Linked DNA regions of Tamandua tetradactyla. The protein of the gene in region 2 purifies or fractionates together with the protein of the main gene of each other region. This does not show direct contact. Links are inferred from orthologs where the notes say so. Each region holds a gene or a part of one and is shown on either strand. Other genes may lie near its edges.

Evidence for each region.
Region 1: the proteins of ZNHIT2 (region 2) and AAR2 purify together in Homo sapiens (affinity purification with mass spectrometry; 3 studies listed by BioGRID and IntAct, counting the BioPlex papers as one, with this or other methods). This does not show direct contact. The link is inferred for Tamandua tetradactyla from reciprocal best matches to the Homo sapiens genes ZNHIT2 and AAR2.
Region 3: the proteins of ZNHIT2 (region 2) and TSSC4 purify together in Homo sapiens (affinity purification with mass spectrometry; 3 studies listed by BioGRID and IntAct, counting the BioPlex papers as one, with this or other methods). This does not show direct contact. The link is inferred for Tamandua tetradactyla from reciprocal best matches to the Homo sapiens genes ZNHIT2 and TSSC4.

Annotation. Positions count from the first base shown.
Region 1 is NC_135327.1:16,166,405-16,173,520, reverse strand, and holds the start of AAR2 (protein AAR2 homolog), read left to right. Parts: upstream 1-4,055; 5' UTR 4,056-4,368; intron 4,369-6,920; 5' UTR 6,921-6,976; coding exon 6,977-7,116. UniProt on the Homo sapiens protein: Component of the U5 snRNP complex that is required for spliceosome assembly and for pre-mRNA splicing.
Region 2 is NC_135335.1:9,458,950-9,466,578, forward strand, and holds ZNHIT2 (zinc finger HIT domain-containing protein 2), read left to right. Parts: upstream 1-4,570; 5' UTR 4,571-6,037; coding exon 6,038-7,216; 3' UTR 7,217-7,255; downstream 7,256-7,629. Other genes in the region: MRPL49 (large ribosomal subunit protein mL49), read right to left, coding at 842-988, 1,116-1,240, 1,589-1,736, 2,718-2,795; FAU (ubiquitin-like FUBI-ribosomal protein eS30 fusion protein), read left to right, coding at 3,350-3,424, 3,519-3,663, 4,076-4,131, 4,302-4,427. UniProt on the Homo sapiens protein: May act as a bridging factor mediating the interaction between the R2TP/Prefoldin-like (R2TP/PFDL) complex and U5 small nuclear ribonucleoprotein (U5 snRNP).
Region 3 is NC_135335.1:2,280,645-2,288,619, forward strand, and holds the start of TSSC4 (U5 small nuclear ribonucleoprotein TSSC4), read left to right. Parts: upstream 1-4,914; 5' UTR 4,915-5,122; intron 5,123-5,336; exon of another isoform or gene 5,337-5,441; intron 5,442-5,727; exon of another isoform or gene 5,728-5,824; intron 5,825-6,637; 5' UTR 6,638-6,787; intron 6,788-6,875; 5' UTR 6,876-6,898; coding exon 6,899-7,873; 3' UTR 7,874-7,975. Other genes in the region: CD81 antigen, read left to right, coding at 334-431, 836-910, 1,192-1,296, 1,544-1,645, 2,456-2,542, 2,647-2,709. UniProt on the Homo sapiens protein: Protein associated with the U5 snRNP, during its maturation and its post-splicing recycling and which is required for spliceosomal tri-snRNP complex assembly in the nucleus.

The DNA of each region.
Region 1 (7,116 bases), on a different chromosome or scaffold from region 2:
GCAGGGGGGGAGCTACAGAAACTTCTTGCCTTTCTCAACTTGAGAGCTCTCACTCCTTTGGGGCTAAGAAAGGAGCTGGGGTGGTCCATCCTTGCTGGGCCACTTGGAATTTGGCTTGGGCCTCTCTGTCTTTGCAGGAATTGGGTGGCCTGAGCACCCTGGACATAGGTCAGAGGGAGGGTCTTTGTTCCAGGTTTTGCCTCTAACCTGCTCCCCCAGAGGCACCTGCCTGCAGACTCTAGGTGTGAGGTGGTGGGAGGGGACACAGTGACCAGCTTAGGGTGTGGGCTGGCAGGGGTGTCCTGAGATCTTCCAAGCAGTGCCACTAGGGATGAGAGGAGCTGCGAAGCTGAAATCTAGGGCACCATTTCCTCCCCATCCTCCTCTTCACAGGGAATATAGAATGTATCTTGTCTGTCTTCAGCCTACTTTTCTTTTTCTTTTTTTTTTATGGTTCTCATCCTTTCTGTGCAGCCTCTCTGCCCAGAAAGCCATGTGGTGGTGTGGGGAAAGTCCCAGGAGGGCCACTGGGGGTTCTGGGGAGCCACCCCAGCTCAGCCCCTAACTCATATGGGACACTGGGTGAGTCCCATTCCCTCTTGGGCCTCAGTTTCCCCATGTGGGAAATCAGTGGCCTGAACCAGATGCTCCCCAGGGTTTTTTTCCACTCTGCCAACTTCCGTAGCTTCATTTTCTCTTATTTTGCTCTTTTGGGATCTTCTCCATCCAAGGGTACAGGAAGTTCCAGGACCTGTTTCAGTTTTTTTAATCCTGCAAGCACATTCCAAGACTGGCCTGAAATTGCATGAGCAACATCATCCTAAATATATTTTTTTTTCCAAAAGCACCTTTCCAACCAACTGCAATGCTGTCCTGTTCCTTTCCTCACGTCCCTCTCTCCTCTCTCGTACCCGCGCTCCCACACTTCAGTGCTCCGTGCTGTATGCGTGTGCTCTCTGTTCTTGTATACTCAATAAAAGTGAAATAAATGTGTTTGATGCTGAACCACACACTACTGTGTCCTCTCTGTCTCAAACCTTGGCTCCCTGCACACGCCAGCCCTGTGGGAAGAGCTAAGGCTGGGATGGAAACAACCCAACTTAGAACATTTTACTCGACAAATATTGAGAGCTCCCAGGGTGTTCCAAATCTTGGGTTACGTTTTGCAAGTACAACAGCGAATAACACAAAGACCTGCCCTTCAGGAACTCACAGGCTAGCGGAGGAGATAGACCCCAAAACGCAGGAACAGTCAAAGACAATGACAGAGTGATCAACAGCAGGTGGGAACAAAACCAGTGGTGGGGACGGATCTCTGAAGGAGACCCCTTTCAATAAGGGGGGCAGGGAAGGCCTTCCAGAGGAATTGATGTTGAGCTGAATGAAGAGAAAGAGCCAGTTAAGGTAATGAACCTGGGCGACAGCATTCTGGGCAGAGAGAACACCACGTGGGGTCCCACGACATGGAGGGGCTTAGTGTGTGGAGGGATAGCTTGGCCTCTCCTCCTCCTGCCTTCATGGGGATGTCGCTCTTCCTGCAACTCCCCTCCCAGAAGCCTAATGCATAACATATACCACAGCTCCAGTGTTAGTCTTTGCCTGCCACTTCCACAAATGCTGCCATATCCTGGTATCCCCTGTCTCCTTATAGACTTGCCATTTTTCTTTAAATTGACTCACTTTTAAACATTAAATTTTTTAAAACGGAAACTATATTACTATATCCACAAAGAGAAAATTAGCACCATTTTCCAAAGAATGGAAGTTCTCGTAAAAGTAAAAATGGACAAGTTTTAAAATAAAAAAACCATAATCCATGTGAAATGTAAACTCATGTCTTGGGCCATCCGAGGCACACATTCCACACTTGGCTTTTTATTCCCTCACGTGAGTCACCCCAGACCACCTTTCTCTATTGCCCAAGTCTTCCAAGCAAGAACCACTGCTAATAATACAATGCCTTTTCTTCCAGTCTTTTCCCATGAATATGTATTTTTTTTCTCACAAATTTGAGGTCGCAATGTACATACCGTTCTAGATGTTTCTTTTATATCCTATATTCTTCCATAATTCCAAATACCAAATACTATTTCTTTACTTTGGAAAGGTAATTCAATAAATCACACAAAAGGCAGTGAAAAGTAAATCTTCAGCCTTCTCCAGAACCCTGTCCAAGGCCAGAGGCAATTGCTGCTGAGAGCTCTGAATCATTCTTTGCATTTTCTCTTTAGATTTCCTTTAGCTGTCACCCGCTGGGGGTTCTGGAATAGAAATTGGTCTGCAAGCATTGAGTCCCCACACAATTCCTCAGAACCCCACACAGCCTGGATCTGTATCTCTTGTCTCCCATAAATACAGGGCCAGCCTCTGAGCTTCTTGGGAATAATTTGGGACTTACTTACCTAGATCAGTTGTTCTCAACACACCACCCTACCCTGCCTGGGGACGTTTTTAGTTGTCATAACCGAGATTTCCTACTGGCATGTAGTAGTTAGAGGCTAGGGATGCTGCTAAACATCTCACAATGCACAGAACAGTTTCCCAGTCAATAAAGAAATATCCAGCCCAAAAAGGCAGTGGTGCCAAGGTTGCAAAACCCCGATCTAAATGGACCTGCGACCAACGGGTGGGATTCCAGGGGAATCATCTACAGCTTCATTTGTATGTGTGGTACCCTGAGTCTCTGAGAAGATAGCGAGCCCACTTAAAATAGGCAGGTCTGAGACAAAACTGTGGAGTTCAGCACCCAAGATTTGGAGTCAGGAGAGAGCTAAACTTCTTCAGGCAGGAAATGGAACTGATGTGACAGGCTGAGATTGGCCCACATGACCATGACTGATGGAGTCCATATCTGCTTAATCCTGTGGCAGCTCATCATGATTAACCATGACTGCAGCCTACAGTCCACTAAGAGATGGATTTTGACTGAGGCAAATTGGCGTGGCCAGCTGTCAATGAGAAAGCACACAGACAAGCTAAGGAGTGACAGCACAGGAACAACAACCAGTCAGACCCTGGTTTGCATACTAGCTCTGCCGCTCTCTGGCTGTGTAACCTCTCTGAACCTCAGTTTTCTCTTCTGTAAATTGGGTATACTAGGGTTAGTGTAAGGATTAGAAATAATATCCCAGGAGTGGAATGAACTAGGCAATATACCCGGTTTCCTAGGACATGAGTTACAAGGAAAAAGTCTGACTTACAGGGATAGAGTCTACTTCATAGGGTGTCTGAAGGGATTAGAAAATAAGTGTACACCACTGTGAGGATCTTTCGGATGCGTCAACTCAACTACAATCCCCAGTTATCTAATCAGACAGCAATTTAGGAATTGCTATGAAGGTATTTTGTAGACGTGATTAAAATCAGCAGTTGACTCTAAGAGAGATTGTCCTAGATAATCTGGTAGGCCTGATTTAATCGATTGAAAGGCTTTAAAAGCAGAGCTCAGGCTTCCCTGAAGAAGAGATTCTGCTTCTGAACAGCAGCTTCCACTCATGCAGGAGCTTCCCAGCCTGCTCTTCCCAACACCCTGCCCTACGGATTTCAGATTTGACTAGCTAGCCCTCACAATCACATAAGCCATTTCCTTGCAATAACTGTCTTAATATAGATCTCCTCCGGGGTCTGCTTCTTTGATTAGTTGAACCCTGACTAACACAACCATCTATCACAGGGCTAGGCCTAGGAATAGAAGATTTTCTTTTCTTTTTCTTAATATTGAATTACTGTCATTATTAATTAAGTGCATAACACATGTACTGAGCTGAGCCTTTGTGGTTGGCTCTGTGCTGGGCTCCAGGGAAATAGTGCAAAACAAGGCAGGTAGTTTCCCTCCCTCTGTGTTTATTTATTGCCCCACTGAGATATTAGACTTAGGCCTGTGCCGCTAGACCACACGGTGATGAAGGCCAAAGGGACTGACCGGGAGACCCTGCTGCAGCTGCGAATAATTCTCCCCGGGATAGGGGCTGGCTGTCTAAGGCTCTCCCCAAAGGCTGAACGCAGCTGGAAGCCGCTCGAGACCCAGACTGAGCGTCGATGTCTCAGGGGCAGCCATGACCTTGACCCCAGACTCAGTGACCAGGACTGTTCGAGATCAAGGAACTATGGCTAGTGGGTGTGTTTCTGGAGGCAGAAATAAAATGCATTGTTCAATGAACGTTGTCCACGATTCAGGAACTAAAACGAGTAACTAACAGCAGTACAAGGCTGCTCTTTGATGGGGCGGAACCTGCAGGCGCGGACCGTTTCTCCCGTGTTTGAGGGCGCCGTCGGGCGTCTTTCTCCGAAGCTCCCATCCGGCGGTGAAGCCGAGGGATTTCCGGTGCGCTTCCGTGGTACCTGAGGTTTGGGTCGAGGCGGGAGCCGGTGAGTAGGGTTTCCTGGCTTATTTCTTCCTTCTCTGCTTTTGGTATCTGCGTGCCCGGGGCCACTGTCTTTCTGGCCCGGGACCGCGGAGTGCCCTGAATTAGTTTCACCTCGCATGGGTAGCCACGTCTGGGTCCGTGGGCCGGGTGGTGGGACGCTGGAGTCTCCGGAGGCCCTTCTCCATAAGAAGCCAAGACCCCGTCCGCCTTCCCGGGATACATGGGTAACTTCGTTTTTTCCACCCTTAACTTTAAGGTTTGGGGGCCGGAGACCTTGAATTATCCCCAACTGCCTGTGTCCTATTCTCTGTGACTTTGGGCAAGGTCTTTCCCCGCGCAGAGCCTTTGTTTCTCTTTTGCAAAACAGAGGTTATACTTTTAGTAAATAAATGTTTATCGAGGGTCTAATATGTGCTGTGGATGCAGTGAACAGAAGGATTCAAATCTTGGAGGTGACAAACTTAAATCAAACATGCAAAATTGCAACCGTATTGTGTGAAAAGGAGAGGCACCAGCGTCTCAAAGGACACCTCACCTAACCCCGGGGTCGGGAGGCATTATTAGGAAGGAGTTGACTATAGCGGTCAGATCGGAAAAATGGTTTGGCAAAGAAGGGAGGGAAGAGTATTCTGTTCTACCCCGTGGAAGCCTCTTGTTTGCCTGCCATAAAGAGACCAGTGTGACTGGAAACAGCGAGCTTTTGGAGGAGCATGGGATGAAACCAAGCTGGGGAGGTTACCAGGGGCGAGACCATGCAGACTTCATATAGGCCATGATAAGAATTTTGGTTTTCCAAGAGCCACGTGGAAAGCCACTCAGAAGGTTTTAGGTGTGGATGGGACATGATTAGATTGGCATTTTGCAAAGGTCATTCTGACTGTATGGAGAATGCATTGGAGTGGCAAGCGCTCTCTGGATGAGGGATGATCGTATGTTGGATTAGGGTGATGGAGAGAAGTGAATGGATGCGATTTTCTGCATTCCAGAGGGCTGTAAGACAGGTTGGTAGGTCACTTTTAAATCTTTCCTCAACATCTCTTCCATGCCAGGCCATGTGCTAGAGAAGAAAATTACAGGCTGGTGGAGTTAGAAAGAAAGGAATTATTAAGGAAGAGTAAACAGGTGTCACAATGGGAAATGGGTTATTGATTGGCATTTTAACTATCTTCTGTATTTAAGGCTGGGGATAGAAAGATGAAGATCCAAATTATTTAGAGTAGTGGTTTTCAAATGCTTTTTACTAACTTACATAACAAATACATTTTACGTTGCAACCAGCACACAGATTTTTAAAAAAAACTACTCATGGTAAACTCTGATTTTTAAATTCTCTTTATTTTTTAAAATGCTGCTTGAGACCCTTCAAATTGGTTTCATGACCCATTAATGGCTTCAAAATGGCAGTTTGAAAAAAAGATTGATTTAGAAAACTTTTGGATTAAGATGATAAAATATGCTCTTAACAATTTTGGGGAAAAAGCATTGGTCTTCCTTTCCCCACGGTTTTATTTTGTTTGGTTTTGTTTTAAGGGGGGAAAAAGAGTAAACAGGATGAAAATTAGCTGGCTCTTCTGTTTGTGAAATTTTGTACATTCAGCTTGATTATAAGTGCCCACAGGGCAGTGATTGTCTTAATCTGTAGATATTTCCTTTAGTGCCTAGCAAAGTCCCTGGCACAGTGCAGGCCTTTAGTGACTGTTTGGTGAATAGGTAGATGTCTTGGGACTAGAAAGTTAGTTGAAATTACCTCGTGTTCGAACATACAGAGGTTTTATCAATATGTCTTCATTGGTAGCTCAGAGGTAGATGAAATAAACTGATACTAGGCCTGTCATGCTGCTTGAATCCTCTCTGGTAATTGGTCCAGAGTTGCCACAGACTGTGGACCTTTTGAGAAGTTGTTTTATTCCCTGGACTTTCGGTGTTTGTCAGTAAAAGGAAAAGAGGGGTTTGTGGTTCCACTCCACAAAACCTTTTGTGAATTTTAGATGCTACTTTTTTCTCCATAGTGTCCTAATTACAACCTTCTGTCAATTTTGGGGCCTTTACTGAATCTTATAGAAAAATAGGTTTGTACTTGATTTAATCATTCTTTCAACTTCTGGAATTCTCCAGCAACAGGTTTCAGTCAGAGTTAAAGTTTGAAGATAGCCCATCCAGGCTTTCTCCATCCTCACCTTTTGTTGTAACAGAGAGATCTGAAAGCATGTCCTAGAAGTGGACAGTCAAAAGGACAGTGGCCTGGAGAGCAGGATACCAGGTTCTAATTTGAGTCCTTCTGTGACCTTGAGTATATCATGCCTCTTTAACTCAGGTATTTCCAGCTATGAAGTGAATGTTCCTTCTCATTAAAAATAGAAAAATCCTCTTCTATCTGAGCCTCACTTTCCTCATCTGTAAAATGGGGCTCATAATTCCTTATCTGCAGGATTGTGGAGAGGCTAATGGGAGATAATTATGTTAGGAGTGTAATTCAAGATCTGACATGTAGAGAATGCTTGGCAAGTGAAACTACCTTCCTCCAGTTCTCCTTAACACCAGTGTCTTTTTCAGCTGTTCGCGAAGGCAAGGAAGAAAGGTTCTTCTTTTGGTCACTCACCACTGGCCCGATGGCCACCATTCAGATGGATCCTGAGCTTGCCAAGCGTCTGTTCTTTGAAGGGGCCACGGTGGTCATCCTGAATATGCCCAAGGGGACGGAGTTTGGCATTGATTATAACTCCTGGGAAGTGGGGCCCAAGTTCCGGGG
Region 2 (7,629 bases):
AAGGGGACTTGCCATGAAATGGGAAGACCAGACAAGAGTCAGCATCTTCCTGCCTGCAAACTCCCTGATCAGCCTTAAAACCAGGTCACTAGGCTGAGGAGGATGGCCTTGTATTGGGCACCCCCTCGTGGGCACACCAACAAAAGCAAATCATTTAATTTCTTGGAGCTTCCATTTTCAGGATTGTGGAAAGCCAGTCAAACCTAATTCTGGTTTGGAAGGGACAGGAACTCCAGCTAGGCCCTCCAACTCTCCATCAGGTACAGAGAGCTCAGGGATTGAGGCTGTGCCCAGCCCTGTGAAGACCTGCAGGACCCAGGCCTGAGTCATCTGTTGTAGCTTCCAACTAAGCCAACTGTGACCTAGAGCAGGGGCTAGGGAATGTGAGTAGCAGGCAGCTCAGGAGGGCCAGAGAGCCAAGGAAGAGATGTGCCTGATGGATCTGCCCCGTGCTACCCTCCCCTAAACTGGGTTGGGCTATGGCTTCCACCAGAATAGCAGTCAGCACCCCCAGGATTGGAATAGCAGAGTCTACGGAGCTCAGTGAGGGGAAAGTGAAAGCGGGGTACAGCAAGTAATGCCCCCCACTAGCTTGGCTATTCCTGGTGGGTATCTAATGTAGATATCCCTCACCCACTGCTGACAGCCGTGCAGAGTCCCGTTTCTTCCTTTATGCAGACAAGGCCTGACTCAGGCCCTTTATCCTTCACCCTACCCTGTCCAAGCCCTTAGCCCTGCTCTCTAAGCAGCTCCTGTTCCTTGGTTCCAATACCCACCTCCCATCCCCAAGGCCTCCAATCTGGGAGGGATGCTGTCACAATCCAGGGCGCTCGGCAGGGCCTCAGAAGCCCTTCTCCAGGAGCCAGGCCTTGAGCTGCTGGTCAACGTACCCCTTGACCCGCAGGGTACCTGTCACTTCGCTGACCTGGGTGACAGGTGTCTTCCCCAGCAGTGGGCTCAGAAAATCCTCCACATCCTTCTGCAGGGCCTGGGGGAAGATGATTAACAGGCCTAGCCAGGAGCCCCTCTCTAGAGGACAGGGAAAGCAGGTCGGGACTCCCACTCCCTCAGCCCTGAAAGTGTCAGGACGGATCCTGACCCACTCACCCACTTACCCAAATGTCCCCCTCCACCTTCCTGATCACTGTCATCTGACGGTTGCCATGTGTGATGTCCCTGTAGACAGGAATGTTGTGCATCCGAGAGCGCCGCACAAAATAGGGCAGGTTGGGTGGAGGGTCTGTGACATGACAGGAAGGCACAGTAAGCCAACTCTTTCCAGGCCTCATTCCCACTTAGCTAAGGGCCCGTCCCCTTGCAGAGTCTGCAGAGGGTCAACAACCCTGGGCAATATCACCTTCAGATTCCAGGACAGGGGGCTCCCCTTTCCCTAAGTTTAGGGTCACGGGACTAGCGTGTTCACCCCGTTACCCCAAGCCCCAACAGAAAGGCCTGGCATTGAGTAAGTGCTCAAGAAACATTAATGGAATAAAGAAATGAAATCAAGGCCAGGGCCTCCCTGGGAGTTTGGGTCACGCTCTGGGTCCAATTTTTGCCCTTCTCAAGCCATCCCTATCACCCAGCTCACCTTGAGGGGGCTGCCAGCCACTGGGGGTGAGCTGTTCATGCTTCGGAGGCTTTGGAATGCTGGTGGGGGGTATAAGACGCTCCACAAACTGGTATTCATGCACAGACTCCACGAAGCTGGGGTATTCAGGAGGCCCCTGGGTCTGGCTCTGAGAAAGAAAAAAAATCAATTAGCCCACTGACCACTGACCCACCCACCCAAAACAGGATGGGTACACAATACAATAAGTAGATTCTACTTAATTATAGGCAGAGAAAATGGATTAAATAAAAGGCTGCAGGTAGGGAAAACACCAGATTTCAACTAGTGAGGGAGCAGGGTACAGGTAGGACTGGCAGAAGGGCCCTGCGTCTCAGGATTTCTGTGGGACTCAATGAGAATAGGCATATACATCTGAAAGGCCGAGCTGCTTCTTCCATAAATCTGACCAATGGTCACTTCTCAGTATTTTAAAGTTTCCTTTAGACATTCTATTTAATTCTAATTCTGGGCTAGGCACTTTCAGCATTCATACAATAGGACCCCCTACCTGGACAGTTTTAGGCCCACAGAGACATTGCGAGGCATCATGTTAAGTGCATTGTGCACTGATTCTACTTAATTATTAGAACGCGACAAGTCAGATATTTTACTATTCTCTTTACACCCAAAAAAGAGTAAGACACTAAGAAAATAATAATCTACCTAAAGTCACACTCCAGAAAACGTCCTGCTCTCCTTCCAGCCTAAAGATCCTTCTTGTAGACAATTCTCCCAACAGATACCTCGGAGTCTTGACAGGCCCAGGATTTACAAGAAGAGCAAGGAAGCAGGATGAAGCGGCCTACGTAACCAGGAGCCCTGGGTTCCCAGGAGTGTCGCCAAAGGGTCGGCCCCTACCCGGTGAAAAGGTTCCCTCTTCGAAAAATTGGGCAGCGAGAGTCGATGTACTACTCCTCCTAGTTCTGGCTCATCAGGATTCCCTCCCACCAGGTTCTAACTTCCACACGCCCGAAGCCGCGCTCCCGGTCTGCCTCCTTCCCTCTTGTTCTTGTACTACGCTCCAGCCAAGTGCCTCCGATGAGACTCGGGTTCCAAGGCTACAATAAATAACAGCTCATCCCTCAACCCCAAGCTCGGCCGCTCTCACCAGGTGCCGTATCCCGCGGCCCGGCTGGACACAGGTTCTCCAACCCCACACAGTAGCTCGAAACATGGACGCTGCCATCTTGACCTGCCCCCTACGTTAGCCTTCCGCGCATGCGCCCACCTGAGCCCGCCCCCCCCCTCCTGCGCGCGCGCCAATGATTGGAAGAACGCCTGCGCGGAGCGTAAAGAGGCGGGGCCAGGAAGGCCGTAAACAGTACAAATTGGGGCCGGCGCAGTCGCTCAGCAGTGACGTTGCATTCAGCAGGCGGTGAGGTCGAGTGCACACTCGTTGCTTTCTCTTTCTCGACTCCATCTTCGGCGTAGCGGCGGTAGCAACCGCGGTTCAGGTAAGACTTGAGGTATGACTGGATCTAGAGGGCTGATGGCGGATTAGTCATGAGGTCAGAGGGCGTAAGAGAAATGGAGGAAGAAGGGCTACTCTGTGCGCCTAGCTCTGTTTCAAAACCCCCCCACGTCCAACCTCCCTGGCAGGCCCGAACTCCCCACGTGAGACTCCGCGACTGCCTACCTCCATCCCTGCGCGATTCTCTCCGGCCCGCCACCCATTACCGACCCCTCTTTCCCCCTGAACATTGTCTCGCTCAAACTTTCCTTTTGTCTTCAGTCGCCAACATGCAGCTCTTCGTCCGCGCCCAGGAACTACACACCCTCGAGGTGACCGGCCAGGAGACGGTCGCCCAGATCAAGGTAAGGCTGCGTGGTGTTCCCTGGGCTCCATTCCTTTGTGCCATTCCCCTTCACTCTCTGCGGGAACGCTTAGGAATCGCATTTTTCTATGTAGGCTCAAGTAGCGTCCCGGGAAGGCATCGCCCCGGAAGATCAAGTCGTGCTCCTGGCAGGCACGCCCCTGGAGGATGAGGCCACACTGGGCCAGTGTGGGGTGGAGGCTCTGACCACTCTGGAAGTAGCCGGTCGTATGCTTGGAGGTGAGTGGGGGAGGAGCGTTCTTTGAACTGCCTGTAAGTTCTCACCGGGTGTGGAGTGGATAGTCAGGGAAGTGTACTGTCATTTCTGCGATAACACAGATAGTGCTAATCAAGTACCCTCGGTCTAGAGTGATTCTTCTCTGCCTCTCAGGTGGAACCTTTGAGGGATTCAGGGGAGATTGAGCCATAGTATAGTTTTATAAGTCAGGGGCTGGAAAATCTGAGGTGACACCCCAAAGTATGTCAGACCAGCACATTCTTGCTTAAAGGGCAAACCAATCTCTCCTGTTTTGTTCTCATTCCCTATTGGGCCCAGCTTGACATTAAAAGTTTAAGTTGAGGAAGGAGGGATTTTGCTGGATGGGGCATTTTGGCTCCTCTAACTGCTTGCTGTTCTCTTTTCTCACCGTAGGTAAAGTCCATGGTTCCCTGGCCCGTGCTGGGAAAGTGAGAGGTCAGACTCCCAAGGTAAGTGAGGGTATGAGTGGTGATGTTTGGACTATATTTTCTATAACCGTAAGCTGGGACCCTTGGCTCTTGTCCTGATTGCCATCTTCCTCTCAGGGGCTGAACCTGAGGAAAGGGATAAAAGGTTTGAACACGTTGGTCAGGCTCTGATTAACCCTCCCTTTTCCCAGGTGGCCAAACAGGAGAAGAAAAAGAAGAAGACTGGCCGGGCCAAGCGGCGCATGCAGTACAACCGGCGTTTTGTCAACGTTGTGCCCACCTTTGGCAAGAAGAAAGGCCCCAATGCCAATTCTTAAGTCCTGTGTAGTCCTGGCTTTGTCTAATAAAGCCACTTTGCCCATATGTCATTGCTTTGTCTTTATTTTGCAAGGTCTGGAGGCAGGGAGCAGTGGAAATACGGCCTTTAGGGCTGGTGGTGCATCCCCCACCACAGGAGAACAGTGAGGTTTGTTTTGTTATTGGCAACGTCAAATTAGGAAAAGGCAGAAGCCCTTGGTCTGGGGAGAAGAAATGGTAAAATGCCAGCCCTTCAGATGTAGAGTTGGGGGCCTCTAGGTCCCAAATAACTTCATAATTCTATCCCCGGGTTCTGACTTAAAATTTTAACAGAGAACGTAGCAGGAATCATCGTGGAAGGATTTGTTATGGAGTCTGTAATGGAAGGGAGGGAAGGGTTCAAATAGAAGATAAATTAGGAAATACACATTTGGTCCTTCTCTAAACTTAGGGCCAGTTGTAGGCTTCATGGAGTCCAGGACAGGAACTTAGCCTGCCTCAGTTTGGAAAGCTTCAGTGTCGGTTGGCTAACCTTGCTAACCTAATCGTAGCCATCTTTAGTTAGGTGATTGTTTCCGTGTTCCTGGATGTGGAACTCCTCTGGGGCTGTTCAAGTTTTCCTCCTTCCAACATATTCATATCAGAGGCAACAGGGATACAAATAAATAGCTTTGAAAGTTTTCGAATCTGAATCAAATCTTGGCATGGAAATATATGATCAAAATTAATTACAAGGTATTTTGGAGGCAGAACTGGCAGGACATGGGATTGGATGTGGGATGAGGGGGAAGAAAGAACCAGGGCTTACGGGGGTGCCATGGAGTAAGTCTTCACAGCCATAAGATGGTTTGCATCTCATAACATGCCCCACTCTCTCACAGACTGTAAACTCCGTCAGGACAGGGTCCTTATCTCTCTTGGCTCCCAGTAAGGAGTCCTCACTTAAAGCTTTTGCTGAGCAGCTAGGCAAGGGATGGCAAGATGACAGAAGAGATGAGTTTGGAAGAAAAAAATCAAACGAGCTCAGGTGTTAAATGATGCTTTCTGCCGATGCGGGGAGGTGCCCCCCAGCCCACACACTCAAGCTGGGCTAAGTAACCCCATTATGAGCTTTCTCCCACTAGAATTGCCCCTTGTCTGTATTCCTTAGGGGAATAGCCGCTGCTCCAGCTCAGGGACGCAGTTCACCTTCATCTCCCATAAGCCTTGCACAAGTTATGTCCCAGAGTAGGTTCTGAGGATTGATTTCAGCCTCAGCGCTTTACATATTGGAAATGCAGCTTTTTTCTTTAGGCAGTCAGCCACGTTTTGGCGCAACCACTAAGGGGCGAGCCGGCACGGGTGGACAACCCTCCGACTCCTGACCTGCTATCGGTCTCTGTTACGTCACCGCGTGGGGCGGGGCTCGCCAGGGGCCGCCCAAGCGCTACTCGGGAGAGAGGTGGAGCCTGGACCCCGAGTGTGGACGGGAATAGCCGAGAGTGCTCGGGAGGGCTTAGCGAGAAAGCGCCCCGCCTCTCCGCAAGGAGGCGGAAGTCACCGAAGAAGCGCCGGAAGCAATCGAAGAGGAGCCGGAAGTCCCCTAGCATCGCCCGTGAACGGTCGCAGTTGGTTATCAGAGGCAATTGTCATGGATCCCGTCGCGCCCTGCGCCTTCTGCCCGGTCGCAGAGGCCCGGCCAGCGTGCTATACCTGCCCACGCTGTAATGTGCCCTACTGCTCGCTGCGCTGCTACAGGGCGCATGGCAGCTGCGCCGAAGACTTCTACCGCGACCAGGTGTTGGGCGAGCTCCGCGGCCGCACCGCCTCGCCCAGCCGCCTGGCAAGCGCCTTACGCCGGCTGCGTCAGCAACGCGAGACCGAGGATGATCCCGAGGAAGCAGGCCTCAGCGCAGGCCCGCCTCCCGGCGGCCTCTCCGGACTCTGGGAGCAGCTGGCTCCGGCCGAGAAAGCGGCCTTTGAACGGCTGCTGAGCCGCGGCGAGGCCGGGAGACTGCTGCCTCCATGGCAGCCGTGGTGGTGGGGCCGCGGGGCCGGGCCGCGGCTTTTAGAAGAAGTGGATGACACCCGGGGCAATCACGCCGTGGAGGTGGAGCGTGCGCCCGCAAGGACCCCACCGCCACCGGCGGAAGAGGTTCCTGGAGACGCCCCAGGGGTCGACGCGCCCGCCGTGCCCATCCGCATCCCCGCGCTGGCCAGCCTGAGCCGCGGACCGGCTTCGCCCCTCGTGCGCTTCCAGCTACCCAACGTGCTGTTCGCCTACGCGCACGCTCTTGCCCTGTATCACGGCGGTGATGATGCTCTCCTCTCCGACTATTGTGCCACGCTGCTCGGCGTTTCCGGGGCTCTGGGCTCCCAGCAAGTTTTCTCCTCCGCCGAAGAAGCCCTGCTGGCTGCCGTCCACGTGCTGGAGGCAGGCGAACACTCGCCCGGGCCCCTGGGCACCCGGGGTGCCATGCACGAGACCTCCCGCATCCTCCTGGGCGAGGGCCGGGCCAACCAGAAAGGCTACACGCTAGCAGCCCTGGGACACTTGGCGCAGACTTTGGGCAGGGCCCGGAAACGGGCCGTGGCTGCGGAGGAGCGAGATCGCCTCTACCGGGCCCGGAAGAAGTGCCAGTTCCTTCTGGCTTGGACCAACGAAAATGAGGCGGCCCTCACCCCCTTGGCTATAGACTGCGCTAGAGCATACCGAGCCCATGCCGTGGCCGCCGAGGAGGTGGCAGCCCTCACTGGGGAGCTGGAACAGCTCTGGGGAGGCCCCGTGCCCCCCGCTCCCAGGACTCTCATCGAGGAGCTCCCAGGTTGAACTGTGGAGGCTTTGTTATGAATAAAGCTCTGACTGGTCTGCCTCTTGGCAGTGCCCATCTCTTAGTGCCAGCTATTGCCCCACCCAACCTCGGATGCTTGGGTCCACAAATCATCTCTCTGCCTCCCCCTAAATCAGGGCCGCTTCAGCCAGTCATAACTACCCGCCCCAGAATGGCAGAGAAGCAGCACTAAGGATTCCAGACGTTTATCCAAAGGAGGAAAAGTATTCTTGCCCCCTTTACTCCAGTTTCAGGCACTGACTTCATTTTCTCCTTGCTCCAAGACACCTCTTCTGTGAGGCTATTCATCCCCACCTTCTCAGGTCCTTGGTATGGAGCTCAGGGCGGGGTAGAGTGCAGGCCTTTGAGTGCCAGGAGTGCCCAGGCTCCTCGTGCCAGGTGTGCTGGTGGA
Region 3 (7,975 bases), about 7.2 Mb from region 2:
CTAGGGCTGCAGGAGGTGGGAGGGAGGGAGGAGGAGACACGGACCCCTGGCCCTTCTTGAGTGCTCCCTGCCACTCTGTCACTGTGCTGTCCTGGGACCAGGGACCCCTGCCCCCCACCAGCGCGGCCACCTTGTCTGATAAGGGCATCCTGGGGCAGTTGTCACAGTGCAGCCCCTGGGGACAGGCGGCCAAGTGCTGATGCTGACAGCGGCAGAAAGGGTGCTGCCCTGCCAGCTTGCGGGGGACAGGGGCTCCGCCTCACTGCACCTGCTCTCAGGCTGTTGGGGCGCCAGCCACTGCGTCTACACAGCCGACCACGCCCCCTCCCCCAGGTATCTACATTCTCATCGCTGTGGGCGCCGTGATGATGTTCGTTGGCTTCCTGGGCTGCTACGGAGCTATCCAGGAGTCACAGTGTCTGCTGGGGACTGTGAGAGCTTGGCGGGGCACTGGGTCGGGGGCCACAGGGGGCTTGGGGTGGGCTGGGGACCGTGGGAGGGTGGGGTCAGGCAGGGACTGGCAGGGGGGCCATGGCCGGGCTGGGGCTAGTGGGGAGACTGTGGGGTGGACCTGGGGACTACAGGGGAGGTGTGGGGGGGCAGGGACTGAGGGACAGGGTGAGGGCGGGCCTGGGATCCTCAGGAGATTGGGGGTCATGGGGCAGGCCCAGGAGCAGCTGCAGTTCTCATGGACAAGCCTGGGAGATGGAGTAGGCAGTGCTTCTCGCGGGCCTGGGGAAGGGTCAGCGGGCAGACCCTGGGGTCTGGTCCGGAACGTGGGCTGTTTGGGTGTCCTGTCCTGTTCTGATGTTGCACCCTCCCCCACCCCACCCAGTTCTTCACCTGCCTGGTGATCCTCTTTGCCTGTGAAGTGGCCGCTGGCATCTGGGGCTTCGTCAACAAAGACCAGGTGAGCCAGAGCCTGGGGGGGCAGCGGAGAGGGCCCTGTGCTCAGGTGTGGGCGGGCGGGTTGGCCCTTAGCCGGGGATGGGCTCCCCTGGGGCCCACCTGAGAGCAAAGTCACGGAGGGCTTCCTGGGGGAGGCAGCCTCGGGGCTGAGAGCAAAGTCACGGAGGGCTTTCTGGGGGAGGCGGCCTCGGGGCTGAGCCGCGGGCAGAGCGGGGCCGTGTCCCTGCCTCCTGGGAGTGTGGGTGCACCGCTTCCACTGAGGGGTGCCCGCCCGCCCCCCAGATCGCCAAGGACGTGAAGCAGTTCTACGACCAGGCGCTGCAGCAGGCTGTGGTGGACGACGACGACAACAAGGCTAAGACCGTCGTGAAGACCTTCCATGAGACGGTGCGGGGGCCGGGGGTCAGGTCCTGGCCTCAGCCTGGAGCTGCGGGAGGCAGGAGCCTGGTCCCCTGAGCTCTGCACCCCTGGGAACCCAGACGGGGTGCTGCTGGGGCCCAGTTTTCCGCCCTTTGCTTGATCCTGGGGTCCTCAGCATCCCCCAGACCTCACCGCACCCCATCACTCTGTCCCGGCCGAGGGCTGGTGGGAAGGCGTGACGCCCTGGCCCAACCACTGCCCTCGTTCCCTGCAGCTCAACTGCTGTGGCTCCAGCACCCTGACCATGCTGGCCAGCACACTGACCAAGAATAACCTCTGTCCATCGGGCAGCAACATCATCAGCAACTTCCTCAAGGTACGTCACGCCCCTCGGGGCGACCCCTGAGGCAGGAGTGGGGCTGGGCCTGACTGTTTCTGGGTGGCGGGTCCCTGGCCAGCGTGGGCAGGCTGCCCCTTGCTGGGACACTGTGGCTGGGGGGTCAAGGTGTGGCCGAGGAAGGCCATGGCATCTGCTATCTCCGTCTGCTGGGGCTCCCAGGACAAAGCTGCCTGCTGGGGGCTTGTCTCACAGCGTCTAAAGCGCCAGGGTCTTTCTCCCAGGCTGTGTGCTGTGCCGGCACTAGCCTGCTGCTTCCCCGGCGGCCCCTTCGCCTTCCCTGGCCGAGTTTCAATGTCCCCAGCGTGTGAGGCCTTCAGTCCCATTGGTGTAGGGCCCACCCCAGTCCCTTTGGGCCTCTCTGCAGAGGTCCCATTTCCCGTGGGCATGCGCCCGCTGGGTGGGGCGACAAGTTGAACACATCTTTCTGGGGGGACCTGTCTGGGGATCTGGGGATGAGGAGTTGGGCAGCTTGCAGGCTCCCCCAGGCAGCCATCTACGGCCCCATGTGAGAGGCCGGCACTCCTGGTGCCCCTGGGAGGCCACTGTGACCGTGCAGGCCCCCAGATGGGTGCAAGGGGCTCTGAGCTGGGGGCAGGGGGGTGGTGCGCACTGGCCCAACATGGCTAGGAGGAGGCAGGGGCAAGCTCCTTTGGTGCTTTTCCTGTATTTCCCATACTTTTTCTGTGAAGCTTTGTAGCACCAGGAGGGAGGGTGTGGGCAGGGGGGTGGGACAGTGAGCCAAGGGCTGGTGCCCTGCAGCCCTAATGACTCCTGTGTTCCCCACAGGAGGACTGTCACCAGAAGATCGACGACCTCTTCTCGGGAAAGCTGTACCTTATCGGCATCGCCGCCATTGTGGTTGCTGTGATCATGGTGAGCCGGCTCGGGCGGGTGGGGGCTGGGACTCTGGGCCGCGGGGGTCTGGGGGGCCAGTCACTATCTCCCTGTACCTCACGTGCCCACCCCTGTCCCCGCAGATCTTCGAGATGATCTTGAGTATGGTGTTGTGCTGCGGCATCCGGAACAGCTCCGTGTACTGAGGCCCCGGCAGCCCTGGCTGTGGGGTGGGGGAGGGCAGAGGGTAGCAGCCAGCCAGTGGGACCCCCACGGCCCTCCCCTCATGACCCGGCCATCTCTTAGGCGGCCCCTGGCACCACCTGTGTATATAACGTTTCCGGTATTACCCTGCTATACTTAGCATTTTTACTTTTGAGGTTTTGTTTTGTTCTGGTTTCCTGTTACCCTTTTGGGGCCTGCGCCAGGCGTAGGTGGCAGGAGAAGGGCCTGGGCCCAGCCTGGGGAAGCAGGGGAGGGGTCCACGAGGAGTCCCTGCCTTGGGGGCTCTGTCTGTCCAGCACAGCTGTCCAGGGGGGCACCTGTCCCGGCTGATGGGCTGTGTCCTCCCACCCCAGCCTGACCTGGGGGCTGGGCGTCTCCCGCCTTTTTTAATCCGCGTTCCTCCTCCCACCCCTTTTCTAGAGCACCCGTATGCCTTCTTGCAGCTATCCTTTCTAACATGTCATCTTCAACTGTAACTGTAACATCTTGGAACAGTCATTCAATAAAAAAGGAAAACCAGGCATGCTAACGTGGCTGCCCGAGCCCCTTCCTGTGCCAGGCAATGCCACACCCCGGGGATGGCTAGAGGCCTGGGGGGCCCCAGCTGGCTCTGGACCCGACCTGGCAATGGTGGACCCATGGTCCTTGGACAACGGTCCATGTGGCTACAAGATCCCACCCCCCACTCCTCCCTGCTTCTGAGGGCTGTTCCAGCCTTGGGTTTTCCTCATGCTCGTCAGAGCCCCACACCCCATCTGAGAGCACCAGGGCTGCTCTGGGGCTGCTGTCTGCCTGGGACTGCAAGGATTTGGCATGGATGCCTGGTGCTAGCACTCCTTCCCCTTCCTTCTGACATGTTCCCCTCCTGAAGGGGTGAGGGACTCTTCACTGCCCATCAGGAGAAGCTGGGAGGCTGGAGTAGGGTTGGTGGGGAAGACCACCTGGCCTGCTCCCTGGGCCCACGGAGGTCTTTCTGTTCTAGAGGTTTCAGTGAGTGCAGCCCAGACCCTGCTGCCTGGTCCCCCGCTCCCTGGGAGCCCAAGGATGCTGAGTGAAGGTGTCATGAGCTCAGCTGGGCCCCCAGAGACAAGTGCCCATCTGACTATGTCAGGGATAGTCCTGACAAGTGCCTATCTGACTATGTCAGGGACTTCCAGTCCTGCCCCGGGGTCTCAGCAGGCCTCCCCCATTCCCTACTACTGACGCTCGGGCAGGTTGGGACAGCACAGGATGGTCCAAGGAGCCCCTTCTGCTGCCCCTGGATCCCTGCCCAAGACTGTGGCCTGGTGGTCTGGGTATAGCCTCGCGTATGGCATGCTGCAGGATGAGACGTGGGGTCCAAAAGTAAGTTTATGGTTCACTCGACAGTGGGATCCTGATGAGGCAGGTGGGGACTGAGCCTCACAAATGGGGTATTTCAGGGTTGCCCAGCACATCAGGGACTGAGAGGGGGCACGTCTCAAACCCCTCTGGGTCTTTTTTGGGCTGGACCACACAGGACCTTGAGTCCTTGGGTTCCCAGGAGAGGCCAGGCCGGGGAAAAGGGCAGGTTCTCTCGACCACCACCCCGTCCCCCTAAAAGTGGAGCTGGGCAGCTGAGGGGCCTCACGGATGGGCTCATCAGCCGTCCCGGGGGAAGGGAGACCAGGACCTCCTTCTCTGCTGTGCGGACGTGACCTGCCTCACAGCAGCGGGCCCCTCCAACAGGCTGCCAGCCTCCCGAGGCGGGGCCGTCCGGGCCACGGCCCCCAGGCCTACTCGGGCTCTCCCCGGGGGCCCTGGGAGGACGCAGCCAGGCGAACGCTGGGCCCTGGCTTCCCCACCTGCAGGTCTCCCTTTCACTTCCCCTGAGGCGCGTCTCCCCGGTGACCGAAGGAGGCAGGCGCGCCGTCAGTGCCCCGGGTAGAAAGCCCAGATGGGGCCCGCTGTCGTCAGAGCCCACGTGGCGGGGATGGCTGGCCGCGGCCGCGTCCCTGAGGGAACCAGGAGGTCCGCGGGGCCGGGGTCGGGGAGCGCCTGGGATGCGGGTGGGAGGCACCCAGGCCAGCGGGGTGCCCAGACTGCGCCCGCATTACGTGTCGGCTGCAGCCAGGCCCGGAGCGGAGCTGGCACGGCAGCTGGCCGAGGCGGGGACGGGAACGCGGCGGAAAGCGCACGAGCGCCGGCAGACGGCCCCGGAGCTGAAACTCGGACTACAGCACCCGCGAGGCACCGCCCCTTCCGGCTGAGGCGCGAGGCACCGCCTCTTCCGGTTGAGGTCCGAAGGACCCACCCCGCTTAGCGGCGCTCGAGGCCGCGCTTCCGGCGTGGGCCGTCGCGCTCTCCCTGCGGCCCCCCTCCCCTGGTGGTGTTGGGACGCCTGGAGCTTCACGCTGGCCGTTAGCCCTCAGGATTGTGAGTGTCGCAGCCCGGGCCCCCGCACCCCTCCGCGTCTGAGTCAGTTCGGGCTTCGTTCTAGAAGAAGCGCCGCCGCTGCCTGGGCTGTTAGCCCCCAGCGCGCGGAGATTATAGGGAGCGCGCACGCCGACGCCCCCTGGCCTAGCAGTCCCGGCATGCCTCGGGCGCCGCGCCCCCAGTGCCTTGTGGGAGTTGTAGTTCTCTGGCCGCGGGAGCCGCCGCGTTCGGCCTCAGAGGACTCGGTTTCCCAGAAGGCCGAGCGCGGCGACCCGGCGGGCGCGCCCATCAAGATGGAGGCGAAGGCCGCCGAGAGCTGGTAGGTTGTGGCTGGGAGGCGGCTGTCCGCATCCCCGAGCCCAGAGGTCCCGCGGCACACAGGACCCCCTCCCTTCGCGGCCTGGCCTTCGGGACCTATCCGGCCAGAATCTACCGGCTCCCGAGAGCCGTCCCGTGGTTCCCCGACGTGGGGAGCCTGCGCGTGCTAGCTCGCTGGGTCCCGAGGGGAGAGACAACCGTAGGAAGCTGCCCCCTGTCCCCGGCTGCCTAGACCCTCAGCCTCCGCTCAACTCTGCGCTCCGCTAGCTGAATTTCCTTTATTCCAGGAGTCCCGCCCACCAGGCTACTTTGATTAGTCGCGGCAGCGTCCCCGGGGTGCAGAGGACAGTGCGAATTGGGGAAGCAGAGTCCGGCTGGAACTGGGTAACTTAGGCCGATTATTCCTACCCTGAGATCTCCCCGTGTCTGGCCCGGCAGGGAGCTCTCAGCCCCTCCTGGCCTGTCTGCATCCTCAGGGTGCAGCAGCCAGCGAAGCTGGGCAGGAGGAGGTGGTGGTGGCGATTGGCTGGGGGCGAGGCCGCGCTGTCCTCAGCCTGCGGTCAGCCAAGCTCCAAGCCTCCCAGAGACGCCAGACCCTGCCTGTGTCTCCAGCACTTCTCTGACTGCCTGGATGCCGCAGGGGAGATGCGGAATGGAGGTTGTTCCAGAAGCTGCCTAGGGCCTGTTTGTCAGAAAAGCTGCTCCAGGTGGTCACTGACTCCCCAGTTTTCCAAGACTTGGATGCGAAGGTCTTGATCTCTTCAGAGCTCCCAGGGCAGTTCCCTGCAAGTACATGCCAACTTCCTGCCCATGGACCAGGAAGGTGCCCCGACCTCTGTGGGATACTGAGTCTGTGCTGGGTACTCTGTTAAGCAGTTCGTCAAGGGCCCTGCAGTACGTGAGCAGAGGCTGTCCTCATCCTAGGCTCAGACCCTAGCTGAGTTGTGGACCAGTGAAATCCCCCCCACCCCCAAGTAGGCCAGTGAGTCTGCTGAGCCTCCATCTCTGCAGCCTGCACTTAAGACGATGTTGTCTTAAGAGGGTTATTGGAATTAAGTGAAGTAATGTGTTGGTAGTGCCTCCTGCAGTGCCTAGCATGCACTGGGGGCATGGTGAACACAGGCTCCCTCGTGAGTGCCACTTTGCACGCTCACTCTCTGGCCTGATGGTTGAGTCTCTTCCCCAACCCTCATCCAGCTGTAGCTGAGCAGCCAAGCAGAGCCGTGCTGGGGAGTCTCCTGGGACTGGGAAGACCTCGCCTCTGCAGCCGCGGAACTGGGTCAGGGCGCCTTTGCCTCGCCAGCCAGCACTTAGGCACCAGCTTCAAGCGTCCAGGAAACGAGGGAGGTGAGAGAGGGCTATCCATGGGTAAGGGTGGGACCCAGGCCCTTTCTCTGTAGAGGCAGCTCTAAGTCCCTGGGCTGTTTGCGTCTAGGTGTGGTGCAGCCCTCGGCACACATGGCGGAGGCAGGGGCAGGCGAGCCGTCCCCCAGCTTGGATGCCGAGCGTGGGGCAGAGTATGATGCCCTGCCTTCTGACACAGTCTCCCTCAGCGACTCGGAGTCGGACTCGGACCTCAGCCTGCCGGTCGGTGCTGAGGTGGAAGCTCTGTCCCCTGAGGGGCTGCCTGGTAAAGCTGGTGGGGATTCTGAGCCTGATGAGCCCCCCAGTCTCCCCTTGGACCTCCCAGGAGCCCCCGTCCAGCTGTTCCACCTGAGAGGCATGAGCTCCACCTTCTCGCAGCGCAGCCGGGACATCTTTGACTGCCTGGAGGGGGCGGCCAAGCAGGCCCTGCCCTCTCTGGCCCATGTCACCAGCGTGGGTGACGATGGGGACTTCAAGTTGCCCCCTGTGCCCCCCAGCCAGCCTCTCAGAGAGGCCCTGGGTAGGTCTGGTCGAAACCCTGCTCCCCTGAGGGCACCATCTGTCCCTGACTACGTGACCCACCCCGAGCGCTGGACCAGGTACAGCCTGGAGGACGTGGCCGAAGCCAGCGAGCAGAGCAACAAGGCTGCAGCCCTGGCATTCTTGGGCTCCCGGGGCCCGGCTGCCCCCACTCACTATGCGCCCTCCTTCAACCAGGACCCCTCCAGCCGCGGGGAAGGAAGAATCATCTTTTCCAAACCGGCCCGGGCTGGTGAGGCCAGACCTGAGAGGAAGAGGGTCCTGGGCAAGGCAGGAGGGCCAGGCAGGAGTGTCCCTGGGGACCTGGGGCTGGCAGAGGCCGAGGACTCCGTGGAGTTGGCCCATCTAGTGGCAAGTCCTGAGACTGAGGGGGGGCTGCCCGAGGAGGTTGCCCGCAGTGAGTCAGTGCTTGACCCTGGGGGGCCCCCAGTGGTGGAGGCTGTTGGCTTCCATGGTAGCAAAAAGCGGAGTAGAGAGCACTTCCGGAATAAAGGCAGCAGCCCCGAGGGCCCAGAAACTGAGGCCTGACAGAACGACTGCCCAGCTAGGTCACTCTGGCCGCTGCCGAGGCCCTGCCTTCTGGGCCCAGGCCCGGCCCTCACATGAGCCCCATGGTGCCCCATGCCCGCA